Linked DNA regions of Oreochromis niloticus. The protein of the gene in region 1 purifies or fractionates together with the protein of each later gene. This does not show direct contact. Links are inferred from orthologs where the notes say so. Each region holds a gene or a part of one and is shown in the gene's direction. Other genes may lie near its edges.

Region 1 (8,237 bases):
CAGAATTAATGTCAGTTTGAGGCGGGCACGCTCTACTTCCTGTCGTTGGTTTCAAACAATTGTATCAAGCCAAGTGTAACCGTAGGAGCGCTCAAGCTGTGTTTCTGGGAATGCTGCCATGGCCAAGCTGGTGCACGGCTGGCAGGCCCACTTAGACACGCATTTAAACACTCTCTCTCTGTCTCGCGCACAAACACACACAGGCTCTTACGCTGGTTATAGCATACTCATGGGGACCCTTTGCCTAAACCCTGTACATACACCCTACATCATATGCTCAACTTCAACCATTTTCCAACCTTGAGCTAATGTTAACTTAGAAGGAGAAATTGCCCTCACTTTCCATGAAAGCAAAGCAATGAAAAACACAAACAAAAACACCTGCTCACCAGAGGAGCTCAAACTCTGAGCTTAACGCCCAGCACTGAAAACAAAGTCGACATCTAAATAACGGGATGTTGCGTTAACAAAGAAGCCTGACTCTAAAGCATCTCTGGTGTCAAGCGGAGGACTTCTGCTGTGCTCACAGTTTGGGACTTTAAAAAGATACTTTCAATTAGAGGCAGAAAAAACGACGGAGGCACGCTGCGTCTGTAATTACCGCGCAATAGATGAATCATCATCCCAAGGAACAAGCTCACAGAACATCTCTTCTTAAGTGAGACTTAACAAAAAAAAAAAAAACTTTCACCAAACTCATTAAAAAGTTTGCGTGTGCTCTGTTACCTTTCTTCTATTGTTTGTAGTTCTCTGGCTGCCAACAAGCTGCAGCTGGTTTAGCCAATTTCTTCCCCCTGCTTTTAACGTATTTATGTGTGGAGCTGTGAGTAATGGCTCAGGGGGGGGGAAATCCACTAAGGTGAAGAGGAGGCAGGATGGATGCCCTAACCCTTCTTAATTAACTATTCATGAGACAATAGTCGCTCTCTATTTAGCTAATTGGGCCATAGCTTCTAAGAAAAAAAGAAGTTTGCAGAAAAGTGCCAAAAAGTAACTTTGGATGTCTCAGTGTTGAAGTCCAGGCATGTTTTTCCCACTCCGATCAGTCAAAAATTCTGTGCACAGGCAATTATTCCACAAAATTTTAATTGTTTTTTTTTTCAGACTATAATAAAACTTTTTGTAGGCATGGAAAGTATTTAATTTTGAAGTCATAAGCTTGACTGCCAGAAAATGCTTTTGCTGAATGCTTCTAGGGTTAAACTAGAGGCCTCAAAAGTCAACTGCCAGATCAAACCAGTCTGTTTGCTTCCAGGAAATACAAACCCAGAAAATAAAGGTGTACCCACTCCCCTCCTCCCCTTACATTAAAGCTCTTTTCAGCTTCACATTGAGAAAAGCTTTTAGGTGGCAAGCCTTGCTAAGTCTGTGAATGACACAAATGGCAAGCTTTTTTTTTGGTTCCCAAACCTGAGGACGTCTTCCACAATAAAGCCCTTTGACCTGGCCAGCTCGGTCAGAAAGCTTCTCCTGCTGCGGCCCATTTTCCTCTCCACCAGGTACAGCCTGACATCCTCAAACTTCACCCCTTCACGCCTGGGAGCGCTTGCTTCGGCCGGCCTTGACCTCTTCCTCGCGCGAGGCACAATAGGAGCGTGGAACATCTCTGAGATGAGCTCTCCAAAGTATTTCTGCACCTCTAGGAATCGCCGCTTTTGTGAGTTTGTGTCGGTATTGTTGTGCGCCACTTAACTTCCATCCAGGAAAAAAAAAGAAACACCTACTTTGGTAATGGCGCAGTTGTTTTTTTCACTTGTGTCTCTCTCTCTCTCTTTTTTTTTTTAATATTTGGGAGCAGAGTTGGTGAGAGCTGGCAGACAGGAAAAGCCTCTGGCAACAGGTGCTGAGGATTTGGTGTTTACCAAAAACCACCTGCCAAGATCGAGTGATTGAGGATGTGAGCGAGAGAAAAAATAATATTTTTTTTTCTTTTTTTTGAAAAACACTGTGCTGACGTGGTATTACTCATTTCCAGTGAAGTATTTTCAACCAACACACACTTGGAGGAAGTAAACAATTACTAATCCAGTAGCTGCTGCTTCTTCTTCTTCTTCTTCTTAAAAAGCTGCTCATAAAGTTTTCATGGACTTTAAATTCTGCTCCTCTCGACTGCCAGCGAGGCCTCTCGCTCCTGGGAGACGCCTGAATTCTGGTCACCTCACAAACCCCTCACAGCTGTCCTGCCATGTCCAGTTCGTCTCGCCACTCACCGTCTCATTATGTCCGGACCAAGCCTGCACCATCTGCTCTGCCGCTTTAATTAGCTTACTGCCTAAAAATGAGAGCCTTTGTGGGCATTTCCCCGGAGAGCCCGCAAGCTCGTGCACGGCCTTTGCACACACTCAGGTACTGTATACGCAAGCCGTTGATGATTAGGAGCGTTTATCCGGGGAATACGGCTGCATATGGATCGGACAGAAATGCAGACTGAAAAAAGATTTAATCAGCTGAATTCATCTATTCCTTTTGTTTCCCAAGAGGTAATTACAGCATGTCTCCTGTTGTTATGATTCCTGTGCTATGGCGGTCAGGAATGTAAAAGAAAAGGTTTCAGCAGGTCTTTGCTGTAATTATCTGCAATAATGGATCTGCTTCAGTAGACCAAACAGCAATGATTTGTTGATTTAGGCGAGGGTGATGAAATCATTACAGGCCTTTATTCTACATCTAATTACCACAGCCTCTGTTCATTTCGTCACTTTAATAAGCACACCTTGTTTCTGTCTGCTACACAGAAATTATTACACAGATCTCATTACCGCGGAGTTCTGGGGGTTAACGGGTGTCACGGGGCAGACGCCACTAATTGTTTGACTGTTTACCCCCACCCATCCGCCATCCCAATCAGTCAGTTGTATATGAGGGTGCTGGCCCCCATCCAAACGTGAGACCGATGAAATTCTATCACTAAGACGAATGGCTCTCACACTGCCAGCAGCAATCGTTGCACGAGCAATGAATCCAATTTCTCTTCCACCTTTCTTGAGTAGCTCTGTGGGTGCAAGAGAAAATTGTCTGATAATTACAATTATGGTGCATATTCAGTTCCATTTAGAAAGGACAAAGTGACAGTCATATCTTGATTTTTTTTTTTAGTTTATTTCTTTTTTTGTGCCCTGAGGCCATTTACTACAACTTTGAAGATGAAAATAATGACATTTATGTTGTGTATGTTTTAAAATTAGTACAACTTTAAGAGTTGTGTTGGGGTTTTATAGTCTCGTTAGACTATAATAAGTCATTACAAGCACACAAATATTCAAACAACGCATGCTGTGCTCAAAGAAATTTCACGTACAATACTGGAATCAAAAGAAATACAGCCAACCTTTGGCAACTTTTACTTAACAGTAAAGTTTCAAGATACCAGTTTGACATGATGCACTTTGTGGTGACATGTGCATTGTTAGAACCATCAGAAGATGGGTGCATGCATGGACAGCGTATACAGTAATACCCAGGTAGCCTTTGGCCTTTGAACGATGCTCAGTTGACACTAAAGGGTCCAAAGAGTACCAGGAAAATATTCCCCACAACATTGCACTACCACCCTGAGCCCTTGATACAAGGCAGGATGGGATACATGCTCCATTTAGCTTAAAGCTCGTTTTAACTTTGTCCATTTGTTCTTTCTGCTAAGACAACAGTATAGTCAGTTTACCAGAATTTTTTAACTACACTGTTCTGCTGCTCCTAAAAAAATGTTAAAAATGGTTCAAACATACTGAAAAAGCTACACAAGTCTTTAAAAGCTCAAGAGCAGTGCGTATGGAGCTTCCTGGAATGGGTTTTGATGGCCGAGCAGCTGCATCCAAGCCTTATATTACCAAACCCAATGCAAACCGTCAGATGCAGTGGCACAAAGATCGCCACCACTGGAATCTAGAGCAGTGGACAGATGTTCTCTGAAGTGATGAATCACGTATCTCCATCTGGCAATCTGAAGGACGAGTCTGGGTTTGGTGGTCAGCTGTTATAGCTGCAAACCCTATGGTTTAAAAATAGGATGTTACTGAAGTTCATATGCATGTGAAGGCAGATGAACAAATATGGCAATACAGTGTATCATGCAAATAGCAAATATTAGCAGCAGGCTCTATTAAGTTACATTCCACCACTTGTTCTGCCCGTGTCCTCATCTGATATCACTTTGCATTGCAAGAGTAACTGCACTCTAGTCAAATGGCATTGGTAGGATGGCAAGTAGTGATGTCTGACCTGAAAGTATCATTTTAAAAAAATATATATATATATATATGTATATATATATATATATGTGAAAAACGTAATTAGGTTAACTTAAACTTATCAAAGTTTCTAAAAAAAGCTGAATGAAGGAATGCACTCTATATATGGCCATCTTTCCTCAGAGAATAATGCAACCTAAAGAGCCTCATGAGTGAAATACGATCACCCCCTGAAATCAAAATAAACGCAGAGTGGATTACATCCTTTAACCATAAATGAAGCAGGCATGAGCTAGGATGTAAAAATTAAGTCCCACTGTTATGAAACTTTTGTTTCAGAAGTATTTATATAGAACGAGGAAGTCCCCGCTTCCCTATTTGTTAATGGCTCATTGTATTCTATGGGACAATTTTAAAATTTTAAGAAGACATGAATTGCCACACCACTTATGGGTTAAGAGAGAGAGAGAGAGAGAGACGGGAAACGTGTGTTGGTTATAATGAGGTGACCTCTCTGTGTGTACTTCTCCCTGCTGAAGCTGCGCTAGAGCCACAGTGCGTGACGGGTCAGTCTATTACTGTACTTCCAAAAGCACACTCGTGCTCAGAGGTTCCCTGTAGAGTCCGAAATGAACCTGCCGTCCAGAGAGGAGTGCGAGGGGTGGGACCAGGCAAAAGTAGCCTCCTTACTGTATAAGGTGAGTCCACTGGAAATGGGAGAGATGCTTGTGTTTTGTCATAGTTTAAATATTCACCACTTCATTCTGAGGGTCATGTATAATGTTAATGTTAATGCAAATTAGCAGCTAAAGTGTTAAAGTAAGACCAGGACATTAGATGACTGGAAGTTAAATGTTTGGTTGTTTCAATAAGTGTGTGTAATTAGCAATTTAAAAGTAGTGAATGGATATGTTTCCTCTCCTCAGAATAATATGCAAGAATGCGCCGTCACCGTAAACAGACTGAAAATTAATGGACAGAGATTTCTGGTGAGTCTTTCCTCATTTGTACCTGAATAATCCAGAAATGGCTCTTTCTCCCACGCAGTTACATAATCTACTAATCCACCCAGGATCATATCAGGGTTGTGGTTGTGTTCAGTTTGTTATTCTAATTAAAATGGTCAAATCCTGACGAGCAGTTGTTATTATTGTGATTATGACATTAACAGCAGCAGAATAATTACATTTCCTCGAGCTGTTTGTGCCATTTTGCTAGAAAACACACACACACACAAAGAATCAGTTGAGGCTGGTTTATTTGTAAAACTCTCACTCTCTCTGTTACTCTGGCAGACATTTTTTTATTATTTTCTTGTTAAAATGTCACTGCTTGACTTGACTGACGAACACACTTTTACTATGAATCTAAAAGCACGCTTCAAGTTGACAAACAGGAGAGTTCACAGGATACGAAACATGACTAAAGCCGGTTGCGTTACTTTCCACACTTGCTCTTTGTGTAAACTGTGGCCCTGCTAATGTGGAAGTCTGTGTATCTGTTGTAACTTCTGCTTTGGTTTCACCCTCGCTGCTCTGTCTCCATCATCCACACCGTGTGTACAGTCTCTGAGGCCTTTCTCATAGTTACCGAGAAGCAGGCTGCCAAAATGAGCGCAGCTGAGTGCCCCTGTTCGGGAGAGAGTAAGGAGTGTGAAATGAGTCTCATGGCTAATAAAGCTGTAATCCCCACTTACTTAAGTAAGTATCTCTAAATCTGCTTCAGTCATGAGGGGGAACGCTGTTTAAAGAGGATTTTATGCAGCAAATAACTGAAGTGAGGGTTTATAACTCCCTAATATTTGGTGTTTTGGGGATCTTTATAATACTTCAGTAAAAACCTCCCACACACTGGCAAGCCTGAAGAAGCTTTCATTCATATGCATCTTTTAAGTGGACGCTTATGCACACTTCTTGCCACGCTCTAAATTAGAGCAGCGGCCTAGTCGCCTATTCATTATTCAATGACCCTGAGCTAACTCCACTTTAGGTGGGATATTGCATCACTGAAGTGTTTGGCCTGCATAGTTAAAAAAAAAAAAAGATGCGGATTTTTATCAGTCAAATTGATTAATACTTCAGAGCAGAGGCTTTGATGTGCACATTAACAGCACCGATCTGAAATATACATATACATACAGTATGTGTATCGATTGATGGATCTCCTTAGCTACGGATCCAGCCAGTGCACGCTTAAGTAAACCCATGCTTTTATTGAATGGCTGCCCAGCTTTTTAGTTTAACTAGCTTCAAGGTTGCGGTGTCTGACAGACATTCCCCAGTCAAACTTTTAAGCTTTTTTTTTGGTCTAGTTGATTATTTTTTTTTATTCAGTATTTTTACTGCAGCAAAGGATTTTGATCTATAACCTAAAATCCCCAACCAGCTTCTCGATGGATCGCTTTTGGATGAAATTTCCTTCTGCTGTTCGGCGTCCTCAGAGGCTGAATCATGCTGACTTTTGCAAACCTCTAACTTTTTCTCCAGTGCCGCAAGAGGAGGTTGACATTTGTGGTTCAGAGCAAAGTAGCTCAGCAACAACTGGGTGCACGGGCATGAAATTTGCAGCAAATATTCTGTGTCAATAGAGGACTTTGTTTTGCTCTTGACTTTATAATTTGCTCAAACAGGCAGGCTGGCATTTTTAACTATTATGTAGCATATGTAAGCAATTTGCACAAATAATAGACTGTATATAATGCAAAATGTTATATAATCTGCTATTTTAAGCTCTATAGTACAGATATTTGTGGTTTGATTACCTTCCGGTTGTTCCTCCAATCAAATGCTCCCATCAGTATCAGCTTGTTAGCATTGCTACTGGAATATATTAGCAAGCTGATGTTAGGCTGTTATGACTGTATATAAAATATGGACACCTGCTAGTTTGTGAAGGCTTTAAGCATGTTGGCTGTCACAGTGAAGTGGGATGTGATGAGCAAGAAAACTCTGGGCACTGCTGTCAACCACAAGGTGGCCCCATCCTGAAGCAGTATTGGCTCTACAAGTAGCCATAATTTAGAAAAAGTCCATGATGTAACTGAGAAGATTTCTAACTCACAAGTTATACTACAGCACAGTCAGGAAACTGTTTTCTGGAATGATTAGTGGAATCCTTTTCCTATAGACAACCTGTCTTTGTCATACAACCAGAGAGGTTGCCCCCTACTGGTAATGATAAAGAATGCAGAAGCTTCACCTTTCAGATCTGGAAAGTTACAGAAGAGTTATGACACTAAATGTTCACTGGTGTTTATGAGCATGCTTACAGAAAGTGTATAAAGTTGTCTGTGTTTGACAGAATAACTTCATAGATACATATATTTGGAAAATATCTGAAAAAAGTCTTTACTGTAAAGACATTTGTGTCTTTGAGAAAGGTTTTGTTTGGATTTTCAGTTGACGAATTCCAGCAGATGGTGCTCTGTTACTTTCTCTACTACAAGTGACGCTGCTCATTGCAACTATCCAGTTCCTCTTCTATTTTTGACAAACATCCTGAAATTGCCCCTGGCAGTGTAATGTCACTTCCTTTTATTTTACAAGAGCAACCGTTTTAAAGACTCAGTGGTTGAATCATCAGTGTGCTTCTGAAAAACCGACCCGCCTGCAAATATACGTTTTTGTATTGTTTGAAGGGGCTGTGTTTGCCTGTGTTAACCTAAAATCACATTTGACAACAACTGCAGTGTTGTTAACACTCCAGTGACATCACTGAAAGGACTAATTATTAATAAAAGGAGAATTTTTAAAGGCATTGTTTGCCTCTTCTATGGGTTTTTAAAATCCAGCAAAGAAGAGGAAACATTTGTAATAAGTTATTTTTGACTCATCCGGAGCTCAGCGTGTGTCCAGAAGCAGAGCAGGGCCTGCACTTTGGTATCTGAATGTCATCCAGCGAGCATGCTTCTGCTGAGCATTGCCTTTGGCTTATTTTACATATTCATGTAATGTACAGTGGCTGGAGCAAAGGTCATAAAATCCATTTAAAAAAAGTGAGCAACACAGATCTGAACTGCTTTCATATGGCAACGTCATCATCAGCTCCTGG
Region 2 (8,091 bases), on another chromosome or scaffold:
TTACCAGCCTGTTGTAAAGTATTGCCACATATGCAGACAGAGTGGATATGACTTAACCTTTGTTCTGTTGATGAGGAAGACAGTAAGCAGCTATTAAATAGAGTAAATGTAAAGTCTGATTAATGAGGTAACCCAACAGATGAATACTGAGTCATGGGGACACAGGAGCCAAAGCACCTTGAGGAAACTGTTGTTGCGATTTGAAACTGAAATAAAAGGTAGCCAATCATGAATTTGAGAATCATGAATTAGAGCTTGTATTGAAGGAAGAAAAAATAATTGATGTTTAAGAAAAAATAAAGAAAAGGAGAAGCTCAACAGCAAACCTTGTAAAAATAAATAAACTATAACTGTATTGACAGTATATATAATGAGATCAACTCATGCATCGTATTTTAACCACCACAATAAATCAACACCCAACCCAGAGTCACCATCTCATCAAAACAAATACAATTTACCACTAACCACAAAAAACAACAAAAAGAAAAACAATCTGTCACTGAAAGCAAAATATGCTCCAGTTAAAATCCACGATGGGCTGCATATTTATCAAGTCCAGCAAACAAACATTTCCTAATGCGATTGTGTTGCTATAGCGTGTGAAATGCACGCAGACGCATTTACTCATGTGGCCATGCCTCTTTCACAACTCAATTTCAAAAGCCGTTTCTCACTAATTACATCGGAAAAGGGTGGGCAGAATCGAGTCGGGACACGGTCAGAGGTGGCCCTTTCCCTCGTCTAACACACAGAGCATGTGTCAGACGCTTTCAAACTACTGGAAAAAACTGTTGGGGGTATTTTTCCCACCTCTTGAAGAGTGTTGCCTAGGCAGAAGCTTCGACAAATATTCTAAAATCCACATTTTTATATGTACATGTGAAAAATTAAACAATTGCCAGAACGAACAATTTTGACAGGAAACGGGATGACTAGAGAGTGAATAGGCTCAAGATAATTACATATCCGATCCAACTGCATCTGGCATTTGCATTCTCGTGCACCTTCTTTGGATATCTAGCAATATCCATCTTTAGCGTGCAAGGCTACAGTGCATGTGTAACAACAGCTTTATACAAACTATTTTTTCTGAACAGGAAATCCATGTTTAGGTGAAAAACCAGCTGATATGCAAATTGTGCATTTTTATCATGCTGTCACCGCGTTACTTCCGTAATTTATCATGATTAACACAACAGATGTCAATATGTCACATGAAAAACTAATAGTGGGTTATAAACATGAGGTTATTAAATTTTAAATGTGTAACAAGATAATTACCTACAAATATGAGAAGTCAGAATATTTTGATAACAGATTTCTGTGGGATGATTCTGACACCAAACTGTAGCTTTAGCAGAGATTAAACCCACTCTGAAAAGTACTACTGAAATAAAGTTAATATAAAGAATATGTTGTAAAGAATAGTGAACTTTAACCTTTACAATACCAGGGACATATGTGAGTCTTACCTTTCTCTTCTTGTCACCACCCAACTCGAAGTGCTTACATCTCTTGATGGCCAGCATTCTCTTGGATCTGCAGTTGGGCTCCACACACTCGAGCCTCAACACAATCTTCTTTGTAGTCTTAGCCTGTGTGACAGTATTTCAGTGAGTGTCATTTCCCCTCACATATCTCAACACAATCAATCCAACAGTACAATGCTGTGAGAAAGTATTTACCCTTTTCATAATCATTTTTTTCCTGTGAACTTGTCACACCTTAGCATTTTAACACTAGATAAAGATAATCTGAGTAGGGCTTGCTGTTGTGCTTTGGATCAGTCCTGCAGCATAACCCGAGGGCACTTACACATAAGGGCACAAACAGACGGCTGGACATTTTTTCTTTAGGATTTTCTGGCAGAGAGCAGAATTCATATTTCCATCAATTAAAGCGGCAAAACAGCCTCTGACCATCACACGTCTGCCACCATGTTCGATTGTTATGTATTTATCAAATGCTGTATGTTTTATGCCAGATGTAACATTATTTACATTTTCCAAAAATTTCAACTCTTTTCTCGGCAGTCCACAGAATATTTCTGTCTTGGAGTTAAGCAAGATGGTTTTTGGGGGGGACAAATGTGAAACCATTTGGTCAGTAATGGTTTGTACCTTTAAACTCTCCCATGGACGCCATTTTTCCCAACTCTCTTCACACTGTTGAACCTTGAACTCTGATCTTAACTGAGGCAAGTGAGGCCTGAAGTTTTTTAGATGTTATTCTGGGATCTTTTGTGACCTCTTTGATGAGCCATAGATGTGCCCTTAAGAGTAATTTGGATAGGCTAGCCACTGCTGAGAAGGTTCGTTACTGTCCCCAAGTTTTCTCCATTTGTGGATCATGGCTCTCTCCACCTTTCCAAAGCCAAAGAAATGCATTGCAACCCTTTTCGCACTAATAACATCAATGTCTTGTTTGTCATCGTTTCTTGACTCCCTTAGATTGTGGCGTGATGTGCTGCTTTTTGATATTTTTAAAAACTTAAAACCTCTACAACACATTGAAGTAAGTGACTTCTTCATATCAACAGATATGGCAGTATTCACGCCTGGGAGAGGCTATTGAAATTTAACTCAACTACCCCAAAAATGTGGCTAATTACACTTAAATCATGATTTCACACAGGGCAAAGTAAAAACTGTGCTTTCTAATTACTTGGGTTATTTTTTTATAATATTAAAAATTAGTATGACGATGATCTCAAACTTTAAAGTGTGACAAAATTAGCAGAAAAATATAAATCTGGAAAAGGACGCACTTTTATTACAGCACTGAATGAGAAAGCGATGATTACCTTTTTTCGGAAAATCGGCTTAGATTGACCACCATACCCACTCTGCTTTCTGTCGTATCTTCTCTTACCTGAAAAACATTTAGAGTTTAGTCAACACATACTTGAACAATTAATAAAATAAAGCAAGGATGCACTGATGCATGGGTTCAAAACAAAAGATTGTAAAATGTCTGCAAATATGGGCCAATTTCCCTTCTGTGACAGGAAAAAGATTGCAGATATATTAAGTGCTAAGACACTAATCTGATTGATTTATCAAAATATGTGACATTATATATATTATATCTTTGCTTATATTAGTAGGTAGATGTAGTAAGCAGAATTTACGGAGTTATATATAAAATAAAGAAATGACCTGTTTTCCAAGAATCCCTATGACTCTTTGTCATATGTACACTTAGCTGTACCCTGTGTTTTACACGTCATCAAGCCAGTCCTTTTTGGCTACCTAAAATATATTTATAGAGATGCTGTTAAATTTGGTGCAATTTGTTCTACACTCTTGCTCAAATCTACTGAAAAATAAACTTGTAACTGCTTGTATTTTGTGACAGGAACGTTCTTTCTGGCTCATAGTGACTTGATATCACTTACAAAAGATGTGTTTGACAGATCACAGGTCAATATTTTATATACAGACACTTTTTTGGCGTTAGACACCAGTGCATCCCTTAAATACAGGACAAACATATTCACCCTGTACATAAAGAGAATCCTTCCCCTTCTTGTACTGGGTAACTTTGTGGGGCTGGTGCTTCTTGCACTTCTTGCAGAAGGTCCTGCGGGTTTTCGGGACGTTCACCTGCACAACACAGAGAATAACATTTGAGCAGACGTGCAGTATACACAAAATACCACAACGCGGACTAACTAGCCACGTCCAACAGGCCCAAGCCATAAAACTCACAACACTTATCAAAAATAAAGCGCACAGCTATAAAGAGTTTTGTTAAATCATTTTCGAAATTGACCTTAATACACAGAAGCACCGAGTTTATCATTTAAACTGTGGCCGGCAGTGTTGGGGCAAGCTAACACGTTAGCATCGCTATTTTAAAGAAAACAGCGTAAACAAGTGATGCTCCAACACTTTTTACAAAGCAAAACACTTTTTGACATAGCTGTTAATTGATTTTAATGTTTAGCTTGTTTTGTTTTTTTCGCTTCTGACAGAAAGGCCGGTTGGAGTAGAAAAACCAAGTGACGTTTCTCCACCAAGATAGCATCCATCAATATCACAACGTTAAATACACCAAAGATGGCCAATACCGCCATCGTTACGCACATCGTGACATTATCAACATAACCGGGTGTATCAAATACAGAAATTGTACTTTAATCGGCAGGATTGAGTTAGATTTGTTTTAGGTGTAATGGTAGCATACCATGGCTGCAACCCGATGCAGAGGGAAAGAGGAAGAAGGAGGCCGGAAGCAGTTCTTAAAGTCGCCGTAGTCGACCTCAGCCGTAGAGAGGTCTGCCCCCTAGCGGCCGGAGATGCAAAGAAGCCAAAACCATAAAAAGACTGCAAACACCCCAAGTTTTAAGGAGAGTGACAGCCATGGAGTCCACAGCATAAACCTGACAAAACTCAGTGCCTCAGTAATATACTAAAACACAAGCTATACGTTTTACTCACAGTGAGTAGGCTTTAATTCCTGCAGAAGTTATCATTTTGAAATATCTTTTAACAACATAATAAGCAGGTGAGAAACTAAGAAATCCCCTCAGGTTACAGTGTAACTATATGTAACAACCAAATATGGCCTCACATTAATGTTTAGCCCGCTTCCACTTATCAACAAAACTGTCCAGAAGGCTGATATGAAAATTAGCAGCAAGAAAAAGGGGAAGTAAGCCCTGTCGATTCCTCTCTGTGGGTGTGTTTTAAGCTTCTTGCATCACAGACCAACACACATTTTATGGAAAGCCAGCTACTGAGGCAAAGGTCCATGCCACTCTTCAAGCCTCAGCATCTGCAGTTGTCTGATGTGTGTCATTTTTCGACATCTGGGTAAGCAGCACTTGTTTCTAAAGGAGGTATTTTTAGTCGCACTTTGTTCACAGAACTATAAATGAGAGAAGCAACCTTTGAGTACACTTCATCTGAAAGGCCGAGGCCAAAAGTAGCATAGATTAGTGCAAGTACTCAACTGAAAACCAATGTAATTTCGTTTGTATGCAAATCCTGTGAAATAACCAATGAAATTATGAGTCCACAAGTGACATTTTCAGCTTAAAGTCTAAAGATTTATAAAGTTTTGAATGTTTTCTGGACATAAATGTACTGTTGTGCGCTGACAGAGTGCTGATAATCCTTTATGTGCATACACTGACATTATTTATCAAAGTGCTTTCTTTGTAGCAGAAAAGTGGTTCAATGTATAGCAAATCACTATCACTAATCAGGTTGTACTTTCACACAGTTACTGACTCTTCATGGCAGATAGCTTGGATTGAACTGTCATAGATTGTATTATCATTTTTAATACTTACATGTGCATCATGGGAAATTCTCGTATTCTGACAAATAGTTCTCACAAGTTACCACAATGTTAAACTTATGTGGTATTTTAATATGCCTGAGTATTCTTTGCGGTTAGAATCAGTCTTGTGACATTACTCACTTTTTTTTCTTTCTTTGTTACGTATGCTCACACAGAGACACACGCAAACACTCATACACAAGTGCGCATTTTATTGCACATAGCACTTATCTACCAGGAAACATCAGGAAACACAGCATCTTTACAGGTTCCTGTTAACATTAGTCTTTCATGATAAGCTTGTGTCTGCTGTGTCATTCACATCAGACATCACGCAGTCAAAACTTGTGCACTTTAGAATAAAAAAACAATAATGCCAATAATGATAATTTATAATGATTTATTTGCTACTTAATTGCCTTTCGCACAGAGGGTGTAGTGACACATTTGGCCTGTTTTAGATTATACAGTCCAGGTCACACACAGAAGAATAAATTACAAACGGAACCTGCAAAAACTGGTAGATTACATGCTTTTCAAATGTCCAAATCATGCACAGCAACATTTAAAAAAGAGATACTGTCAGGTAAGAAGAGGTGCAGGCCACAGGGTTTCTTCTCTCTTCATATTGCAACGCAATACTGATGCAACTTCCCTATGACTTTGTCTGTGTCAGCCACCATGAGTCAACTCCCAGCAGAAAAGGCAAAAAAAAAAAAAAAAATCTCTGAGTAGCCATGATGCATTAGTAGCTGCACAGTTCAGTCAAAAGGCTTCACTTATTTAGAGGCACATATCACGGTTTTGGGCGTGCGCCCTCAGAGTTTATTGACCTTCACTCGAGTTAGTGATGTGAGAAAACACGGGTCGTGTTAAATGAGGAATGAGTAAACAATGTTTCACAGAATAGGGAACACCTCTGTCTGCTCATGAAGGCACAAACAACACCAGCAGGTAGTGTCACTCGAGTGTGAAGAAATGTCAGACTTCGTTAGCAGAGAGCAACAGAAGCTTCTCGTAGTGCTACAGTTACAGTTGAGATGATAGAAGGAAGTTCTCTCTCTCTCTCTCTCTCTCTCTCTCTCTCTAAGCTGAAAATAGGCTGAGTTGAAGTGCGCACACATCTGACAGAAACTGACACACAGTGAGCATTCGGCCGTGTAACGAGGGTGAGTCTGAGAATTTGATAGTTCACATTTGAGCGGTAACCGGTAACAAATAACTTCCCTGCATTGGTGCACTTTTGTTGCACTTTTAGAACAATGTGGTGATGGGAATACCTTGGCTTTTCTTCTGGTCATTTGGTGAGATTTTAGTTTTAGTTCTGCATTGGTCAGAACCAAAGAAGACTTTGCTTCCCAACCTATCATCAACATCAATATCTTTCAGCTTTGTTTCCATCAGTTGTCGTGATTTTCTGCGTGTACCGTCACTGCAACACTATTTATGCTGAATTAAGTTTCAGCTATCTTTATTTCCCCTAAAATATCAGGCTGTTAATGTTGCTATGTTACTAATTTCCACAAAGAGAAATTATTGTATGCTCCCCTTCACTCAGATTCTATCAATGTGTCTTGTTTTGGAGGTGCAAGTTTCATTTCAGCGCTGGTGGTTAGGAGGTGCTGCAAACAAGACACACTACACTGCCATAAAGCAAAAAGAGAGCCTTTTTCATTTGCCTACTTATCTTATGTGCGTGGTAAAATGTAGAAATGTGCCCGAGGGGAAGGAAGCCTTCTGATAGTAAGAGTGATATATTACATGATATGTTTGCCAGCAAACAAATTTTATTTAGAAATAAAATGGATCATGTCTAGACTGTATAGTTATATAAAATGAAAGAACTATACTACTGTATTGAGCCAGGTTTCTGGATCAACAAATCAGGCACTTGATATTCATTCCAAAGGCAAAGACGAGTTAAATACTGTATCCAGATGACCAGGATGTAACAGCTAAGAGAAACAGATGTGCCACAGAGGCAAATGTTGGAAACCGAGGATGTTGCTGTCAGGAAAAGCAGGGCTTATGCAAACTACACCTAATCACACAATGATATGCGCTAACACTGCATGCCTGTTCATCTCTTTCCAGATCTCCACTCTCACCTGTTGTAGTGGCACTGCTCCAACTCTATGAACAGTGGGTAGGTATTACATTCTTTAAAACGCTTTTCAAAGGAAATGAAAACACTGAATAAGTGTAAAGTTCAGCAAAACATGAGGCTTTATTATAATGCTGAGCACAGTCACAATGGGTGAGCCAGTCACAGCTCTCAGCAGAATTACGGATGCTGTTATAGTCGGGGTGAGAACATGCTGTTTAGTGGAGAAGCCCTGTGTTACGCCATGATTAGTCTTTTTAAACGTATCCATTTGTCACTTGTTCCAGTGTAGCTGAATCCTGATTGAATCATGTCAGACTCTATACTGGAACAAGTCTTCATTAAAAGATCTCAACAGAAGAAGAAGACCTCACCTTTAAACTACAAAGAGAGATTGTTTGTTCTCACAGCAGAAAAAATATTCTACTATGACTTTGACACAGACAAAGCGGTATGTATATAGAACTGAAGAAAGGTTTGTTTCATATTAATGTTGGCTGGCAACCTTGAGCCACTAAATAAACACTTGGGTCTTTATCTTGGACTTACCTGACTGTTTCCTCTTCTGTTAAGCAGAAGCGAAAAGGTCTGAAAGGGTCAGTTGACCTAGAGAAGATCAAGTGTGTAGAGACAGTCCAGCCAGAGCCCAATGCCCCACAAGAGCGCATGTATCCATTCCAGGTAGATATTTTTCA
Region 3 (7,930 bases), on another chromosome or scaffold:
AACGCTTTTCAATGCAAATATAAATAAGACTACTTTGTCATAAACAGCAATAATCAACTGCTTCTCCAGTAAATATATCATGTCACAATATGAAGCCAACTGCATCACTCATATCTGCAGCTTTAGAGAGCCATTAGTGACAATAGTCAAGCAGTACAAGAAATCCTGTCTGTGACAGGGAAGGGCATCAGGATTTTATCATTATCAACACAATTTATGAGGGTTGTCACATTATTAGAATTTAAAGTTTGATACCAATACCCAGGAAAGCACACGATTCCATTTCCAGGGCAAAAGTATCATAGCATGCTGCTAAAATGGACACTGAATGTGAATGGGGACAGGACAATGGCCAAGAACACAAAAATGAACTGCCCTGATGGATTCTCATGGTCTTGTCAAAACCACCGGACTTAGACAAAAACTTTTTTTTTGTCAGAATACACAATATAAATAGACAGAATACACAAAGTTTTTTTTTTTTTTTTTTAAAGTGCTACCTTGATTAACTACTATGTTAAACAGGAACTCGGTCAATCCTATGCCCATAGAACGAGAGCTGTGTGGAATTTGTAATGTAATATAATGCAAGTAAGTAAACCTTTTTTATACAGCACCTTTCACGGGTCAAAAACCACAAAATACTTTACAATAAAAACAGGCATGAACAAAAATACAGAAGATTAAAACATAAAACAGCATACAGCCTGAAACTAGTTAAAAGCCAGTCTAAATAAATCAGTCTTCAGCTGCTTCTTAAAAGAATCAACAAAACAGCGCAAACATGCAGGTAAGGCATTCCACAATCCGGGGGCCACAGCTCTAAAGGATTTATCCCCTCTGGTCTTAAAGTGAGTTTGTGGGATCATTAACAGTCTTTGACTGGAAGATCTCAGACTGCAAGAAGAGAAAGGACTAAAACGTTTAAATGAATTCTAAAACGAACCAGTAGCCAACGTAAAGAGATTAAAACTAGAGTAATGTGCAGTCTCTTTCATATGTTGGTTTAAAGCCTAGCAGCAGCACTCTGTACCGACTGGAGACGGTTACGTAAACACATAAACAGACTGTTACACTAGCCAAGACGAGCTGAAATAAAGGCATGAGTACTCATCTTTAATTCAGCTTTTGACACAAGACTTCAAAGCTTAGAAATATTTCTTAGTTGAAAAAACAAAACAGTTTCAGATTAATCCATGAGAATGGCTCTCGAAAGACATGGATAAATCAAAAAAAAAAAAAAAAAAATCACACCAAGGTTTCTGAGTTTGGATGCTGAGGGATGACTTCAAGTGTGGTAGCTTTAACAAGCAATCTATAACCAACAGTTATAGATTAGTATTAGAGAAATGCTACACTGTCTCTATGTAGCTTTAAGTGCTTCACTGTAGATAAAGCTAGCTAGGTTTCAGGTATTCATTTCCCTACTACTTTCTACACTCACATATACAGTATTTTATAAAACTGAATTATAATAAATGTGTAATTGTGTACATATTTTTCAGTTAACAAGTACAAAATAAAAAATGCATAACAAATGATGTAAAAATTTGTATTGGCTACTGAAAAAGGGCCTCCAATGGTGTAGCATTTTACACATTTGCCTGGCAAGCGAAAAATTGCTTTCGATTTGATTGGGGTTGCATCCAGAAAAAACTGTGCCAAATCAAGCATGTGCTGCTACCTTCTGTGGCAACCCCTTGTCACAAGGGAACAACCAAAATTAGATCTCTCCATCACAGACACCATCTGACGGTTGTTAGTATACGGTCAGGTGTATGGTGACAATATAGTATGTAAGGTATGAGATGATGTTCTAAAAAAGTAAACAGCAGGCTGTTATTTCTATTTGTGATAAAAAATAAATAGTCAATACCTGGATTCTCCACTGCTGTTGCTTACACTTTCATCCTCACTGCGTCCAGCCATGCTGAAGTCAAAAATATATAGACTTCAACCTGGCAACCTGTAGTATTATGGTCCACGTGTTTAACCTGTGAGCAAAAATACACGTAAGTTTAAAAAGAACTGTATGCAACAAATACTTGGGGTTATATTATTACTTGTTGAAACCAGAATAATATCAGGAATATAATTTCACAACAACATGCATTAAGATATCTGATTAGGTGGAGCTTGATAAAACTCAGATCCACATGGCAAAGTACAACAGAGCTTAGTGTACCATCCGTGACTGACTACAACCTATGCATCAAAGCTTGTCCTGTGAACCATTCAAGCAGGGACGCAAATATACTTTCGATAAATTAGTTTCAATTGAAACCATTTCAAGTCATCTATCAGGTCTGTGGTTTCATCCTAAGAGAAGTGAACCGCGTCTGCAACACAGATAAACGTCTTGAGATATGACTATTTCAAGTTAAAACTAGAAAAGTCTGATCTGTGTGGATGGCTGTCTGTCATGCTACTTGGCTGAACGTCATTTATCCCACACCGCAGAGGCCTATCAGGCCTGCACTGTACCAGCGTGTTTTCATGTACACATGAAGCTCCGTGTGTACCCCAAGAAGATGAAAAACTAAATAAATCAATAAAAATAAAATCAGAATAAATGGTTTCAGGACACCCTCAAGTCATCACTTGGGTACACTATCACTATGGTTACAGTTTAGCAAGTAGCTCAAGCTAACTAGCTATTACCGGCTAACGATGGCAGTATTAGCGATTGGCGGGCAGGAGTAGCCTATGCAGACATAGCCAGCTATAAAGAACAAATATACAGAATAAGATTCAGCACAAAACCTGTAATCACCTGATTACCTGTAACCACTTCGCTATGTTTATCTAGTTGCAGTTTGCTAGCCGCTTTATGTTGTGCTATTGTTTTCTGGATTTAAAAATCCTACACGTGACAACTGTTAACTTTATACCTTTACGGTATGCACCGCAACCAAGTAGCTCAAACTGTACATGCCTTTGGTACTTTGTTTCATTTTGTGTCAGTGTGGGTGAAATAAACATGAGGAGAGCTGGCTCACAGGCCATCACAAGGGCTGTCAAGGCAAACAGCATTAGCTAACGCTATGAAGCACGAGGCTAGCACAGAAGCTAACAAAATGAGAAAACTTTGCCCTAATAGGAAACCAGTAGAATGATAACTTTAGAGTTACAGATGATACTCAAAGTTAATCGTCAATAATATTTAATTATGTAAATATATGCACAATCAGTGGATTGGGATGAACAGTTATACAAATTTAGTATTCATCATTAAACCCACAAAACCAAATTAGCTAACCAACTTCACCCTCTCCCATCTTGTTTTCATTCGCTGTTCACTTCTCGCGGCTTTTACAACATCAACATGCAACGTTAGCTTACTTTTCGCTAGCGTAAGGACTAAGTAACTCAATGATGTGTGTTACCTGTCGTTAGTTTATGTTACTCGTGAAACTCCGATAAAATATTTGTCTAAACCAGCCTTTCCAGTCCAGGAGTCCTTTCTTCTTTTATTTAACTGGCGAGCTAGCAGCTGCTGGTAGCTAATGCTACCGTAAACTTGCTAGCTATCTCCCGGTTAGGGAGCGCAGCCCGAAAGACTCCGGTCGATAGAACTGGTAGAATGTTGGTTTTCCTCTTCTTAACCAAAGTCCCGTTTGCCGTTTTAGAAGTTACAAAATACAGTGCCCGTTGATAAGCAGCGACTGTAGAAAGCTAGCATTTCAATCCAGTGTCTTTCCACAACCGGCCTCCGCCATGACGCCGTAGGGTTCACTTCTCCAGGAAACCCCGGACAGTGACGTAACGACTCTGCTCCTTACTCCTCCAGTGTAGCAGCAGGAAACGTCGGTTTCTCATAAGTCGTCTTTATCGTTATCTGAACAAATGGAAATAAAGCTAGTCTGACAATTTAGGTCATCGTAACAGCAAGGTTATACATATACAAGGTCGTACACAAAAGTCCGTCTTGTTTACGGAATTACGATAGCCGTCAACCATAGTTTCTGTAGTTTGAAACGTACAACCCTTGCACTTGCCGGTTTGTGGTCTTCTCCAGACCGTATGTGTGTTTAGTCCACTTAACGTGCGTTCTCTGCTTATGGCGAGTGTTCCTTATATATAAGAAATGCATTTTGAAAAACAAGTGCATGATTACAATACAAACTCACACGTACAGTCACCTGGGCTTTCAGAAACAATAGCTATTTAGAATAGAAAGTATTTTAAATAAGCATGCCTGTTTTAGAGTCAGTGACCGCCGCACGCGCGCTATCTGAAAAACTATCCCAAAGCAGCAGAAAATTAAACCCTTATGTAGCAACATCACCACCTGCTGGCGACATTGTCTACTGCATGCTGAATGGACCTCATTTTACTTCTGTAACAAATTTGACATTAAACAGATATGAATTGGTCGATGGTGCATACACTGATAGAAATATGACGGATAGGCCTGTTAAGTCTGACAACAAGATGATCTTCTTCAGGGAATCAGGGGGCATTAGGTCGGCAGAATCACCGCATGTGTTTGTGGGTATGGACCAATAGGAGGTGATCCAGGGATGGCGAAGCTCCGGAAGCTCATATTCTGCATCTGTAAATATTTCAAAGCAGTAAGGATGCTACTGATGAGCTCCGAGGATACCACATTTGTGTCCACAGATCACCATCAAATTTATCCAGCATAGTAATGTTAAAATTATAGGCGACCAAACAGAATAAGAGCAATGGGGTGACTGATGGATAAGATAAACGGAGTGTGCTCCAGAGGGTGAGTATATGACCGCAAATATCGATTCATTTCGCCGCATCTTTGTAACAGCTTCATTTAGATAGAATTTATATGACAGAAATGACATGAGTTGACCTGATGATAATGTCCCAGGACAGGAATTCAACCGTGCAAATGATGCGGATAAAATGTGACACAGAGGCGTGTCCCAAAAGATCACTGGAGTGAACCCTTCTGTTGCAGGGGCAAGCATATTATTCGTTATGTTCTGGCGCACATGTGAGGATATTTTTATGATTAAAAGGCACGGATCACAGTTTAGCTTTAGCAGAACCCACGTTACAAATGCAAAAATGGAGCTTGTGTTTACCAGTAACACAGAAGTGAACTGTGGGCTCCTCCACTGCGCATGATTTGCTGCTTCTCTGTATTCTCTTTCTGTAATCCGTTTATACCACAGTATGACACAGTTGTGTCTTTATGGCCCACTTGGGATTTTTTCTGTTCTGTTGTGTGTGTGTGTGTGTGCGCACGTGTGTGTGTGTGTGCACGTGTGTGTGTGTGTGTGTGTGTGTGTGTATGTTACAGATACAGAAGTAACAAAATAAGGGAAATTTTGTGGAGAATACTGACAAGAGTCATAGTAAGAACACTTGTACGGTAAGAATCATATTGATGTTGATATTGATCATATTGTGGGTACAATTTACATTAATTGTCATTTCTCCATTTTATATGGTCATGTTTCTCCTGTTTTTGCCTTAATTACAAGGGTTTTTTTTTTTTTGCCTTACAGATGTAATAAATTAAGATTCTTTCTTTCACCTTTACAACTGCATGTTCTGGTCTTTGCGATTTAGTTTTATTCTATGGAATTGAAGGTGTGGATCAGTTTTGGATGAGGTGGAGTTAGATTAGGTAAATCAGTTAACACCTATAATTTTTTTAAGTATTTAAAATCAAGTTGTGAGATAGTATAATAAGGTTGGGAATAAATGATCAACACTGCTCTTAAGAAACACTGTTCTTTGATCTGTTTCTGAAGGTAAAATGATTATAAGAAAAAATAATTTGGTAAATAATAATGATCATTTAAATATGCAGCATACAGATGCCTGAACAGAAAAGGGAAGAAGTGTCTTTAAGACATGGTGCAACACACCATTTGAGAATGTTTAATTATAGAAAACATGAACTTGATGGAAACAAAAAGGAGAACATAATTGCAACATGAAATAAGGCAGCTGTACTGCAGTGTGAACATAGGCTGAAGAACTCAATAAGCATTTATGCCATATACAAAGTTAAGCACACCAACTCTTGTACTCGTCCATCACAGTACAGTTTAAAATAATATACAGAAAAGTACACTATAGTACACCATCAGAGGAAACGAGTGGTAGACACTATTGATATTTAAAGCAGAGACCTGCTGCCAGTTAATTTTAAATTTATTTTTATTTTTATCTGACCAACCTGAAGAACATGAGTATGTCACTGTTCAGATGTACCGGTTAAGCATTAGTATTTTAGACAGATATTAAACATTTAAAGGTTTAGGCTGAGCTTTGTTTTTTGGTATTTAGAGATCATATAACCATGATACTGAGTTTTTGTTGAGCATGTTAAGCTAATCGAGTGTGCACTATTACTTTTTCAGTGTAGTGCTAACGTGTATGATGGTTTTTAATCGAAAGAGTATCCATCATTATTCTAGCATATATGAGGTTTCTGCAATGTTGTGATGGTGTGGCTCTCCACAAGGTGGAGCCATATGGTATATAGGTAAATGAAGTCTTCCAGTAGTGATGCTTATGTTAATAGAATTTTGATAATCAAACTTTCAAAATAAAACCTTCCAACTGTTACTAAAATTAAAGGTGGTCAGAATCCATACTAAAGCATGTATGTGTATGTCACTACATTTCAGAAGGTACTGGTGAAGTCACGTTTGTATTACCTGACCGTTTTGAATGGATAAATGCAAGAACTTAAACGTTACTCTTAATATTTAATGTTTAATTTACACCCAGAAGGCAATAATTCAAAGTTAGGTAAAAACAGCTGAGAATGTGAAGTCAGTTCACTTCCTCCACAGTGGTAAGACACATAAGTTTGACATAGTTGCAATTAGGTTACAGTACAAAGACCACTAAATGTAAAATTGACATCATTGGTTGAGATTTTTTTCCATTCCCCTGAGCATCAACTCCAAAGGAACGTTAGCCACCTAACCCTGAAGTTAAAGTTAAATCTGCATGAAACAACTTTAGCTTGAAATGTCAGTGTTACACAATCTCTTTCATGCCTTTCTCTCTTTTACTTTTACTCAGACCCAGTCACAGAGATTACTGCAGTAGGATCAAGTGATTCAGATGATACTCAAATAAAAAAAAGAGTTTTTTCTATACTTGTAACATCACAGTTTTATTTTTAAATAAAATCCTTCTTTATTTGGCTATAACTATCTGAAATGGTAAAAGCAACCCAAAACCAAAATGAGCCTTTTCTTGATGAAAAAAATAATGTCTGCTCATTTTAATCATGACTGGTATTTTTTCAATAACTTCAAAAACACTCTTGAATTTCCTTTGTACTCCATTAGTTAGATACATTCTGATATGTGCTATCAAATTATAAAGAACGAAAGAAAAAAAAGAAGCAGAGATAAAGATCATTATGATAAATAAAGGTACTAAGTACTAAAAGAGTAGTTAGCTCTGTGGTATGATTTTCATGCATAACTGTTTTCAAATCATTTTGGTGACCTCCCAGTTACAGTCTAGTAGAGCATCAAATTTATTCAGAATTTAGTCATGTTTGCAAAGGTTTTTACTGTAATGTACTGTAAAGTTTTCATTGTGTGTAAACCATAACCCATTAACAGTCTGTGATATAACTCTACATAGCAAAGAGTTTTATAACCTCATAACCTCATAAATTTACATCCTTGTTTAATAATGTTTTAAACTATAGGCATATATTTCATTCTGTTCCAATTAAAATCCACAGGTCAAACAGGATAGTTAAACTAGCCCATTTTAGAGATGAGAGAAATATAAATATAAGTAGTAGGTGAGAAACTTGGTGTGATCACACTAAACTTCTGAAAGGAAATGTTTTAAATTGTCTTTACAAAGTTACAGAACCACACCACCTCCTTACAGTTGTAGTTGATGCATTTTACATTTTTGTGCAACTTTCAGCTTACTTGCAACTGATTGGAAACACTTTGGC

What was found.
Region 2: the proteins of blnk (region 1) and btk purify together in Homo sapiens (affinity purification with western blotting; 5 studies listed by BioGRID and IntAct, with this or other methods). This does not show direct contact. The link is inferred for Oreochromis niloticus from reciprocal best matches to the Homo sapiens genes BLNK and BTK.
Region 3: the proteins of blnk (region 1) and syk purify together in Homo sapiens (affinity purification with western blotting; 3 studies listed by BioGRID and IntAct, with this or other methods). This does not show direct contact. The link is inferred for Oreochromis niloticus from reciprocal best matches to the Homo sapiens genes BLNK and SYK.

The regions. Positions count from the first base shown.
Region 1 is NC_031978.2:26,391,119-26,399,355, reverse strand, and holds the start of blnk (B-cell linker protein), read left to right. Parts: upstream 1-4,720; 5' UTR 4,721-4,816; coding exon 4,817-4,885; intron 4,886-5,113; coding exon 5,114-5,176; intron 5,177-8,237. Other genes in the region: dntt (DNA nucleotidylexotransferase), read right to left, coding at 1,411-1,604. UniProt on the Homo sapiens protein: Functions as a central linker protein, downstream of the B-cell receptor (BCR), bridging the SYK kinase to a multitude of signaling pathways and regulating biological outcomes of B-cell function and development.
Region 2 is NC_031966.2:17,466,392-17,474,482, reverse strand, and holds the start of btk (tyrosine-protein kinase BTK), read left to right. Parts: upstream 1-4,689; 5' UTR 4,690-4,820; intron 4,821-6,383; 5' UTR 6,384-6,461; intron 6,462-7,386; 5' UTR 7,387-7,438; intron 7,439-7,683; exon of another isoform or gene 7,684-7,688; 5' UTR 7,689-7,706; coding exon 7,707-7,847; intron 7,848-7,972; coding exon 7,973-8,077; intron 8,078-8,091. Other genes in the region: rpl36a (large ribosomal subunit protein eL42), read right to left, coding at 1,476-1,598, 2,807-2,874, 3,503-3,608, 4,192-4,194. UniProt on the Homo sapiens protein: Non-receptor tyrosine kinase indispensable for B lymphocyte development, differentiation and signaling. Binding of antigen to the B-cell antigen receptor (BCR) triggers signaling that ultimately leads to B-cell activation.
Region 3 is NC_031972.2:7,913,583-7,921,512, forward strand, and holds the start of syk (tyrosine-protein kinase SYK), read left to right. Parts: upstream 1-4,528; 5' UTR 4,529-4,732; intron 4,733-5,281; 5' UTR 5,282-5,353; intron 5,354-7,930. Other genes in the region: chd1 (chromodomain-helicase-DNA-binding protein 1), read right to left, coding at 1,877-1,929. UniProt on the Homo sapiens protein: Non-receptor tyrosine kinase which mediates signal transduction downstream of a variety of transmembrane receptors including classical immunoreceptors like the B-cell receptor (BCR).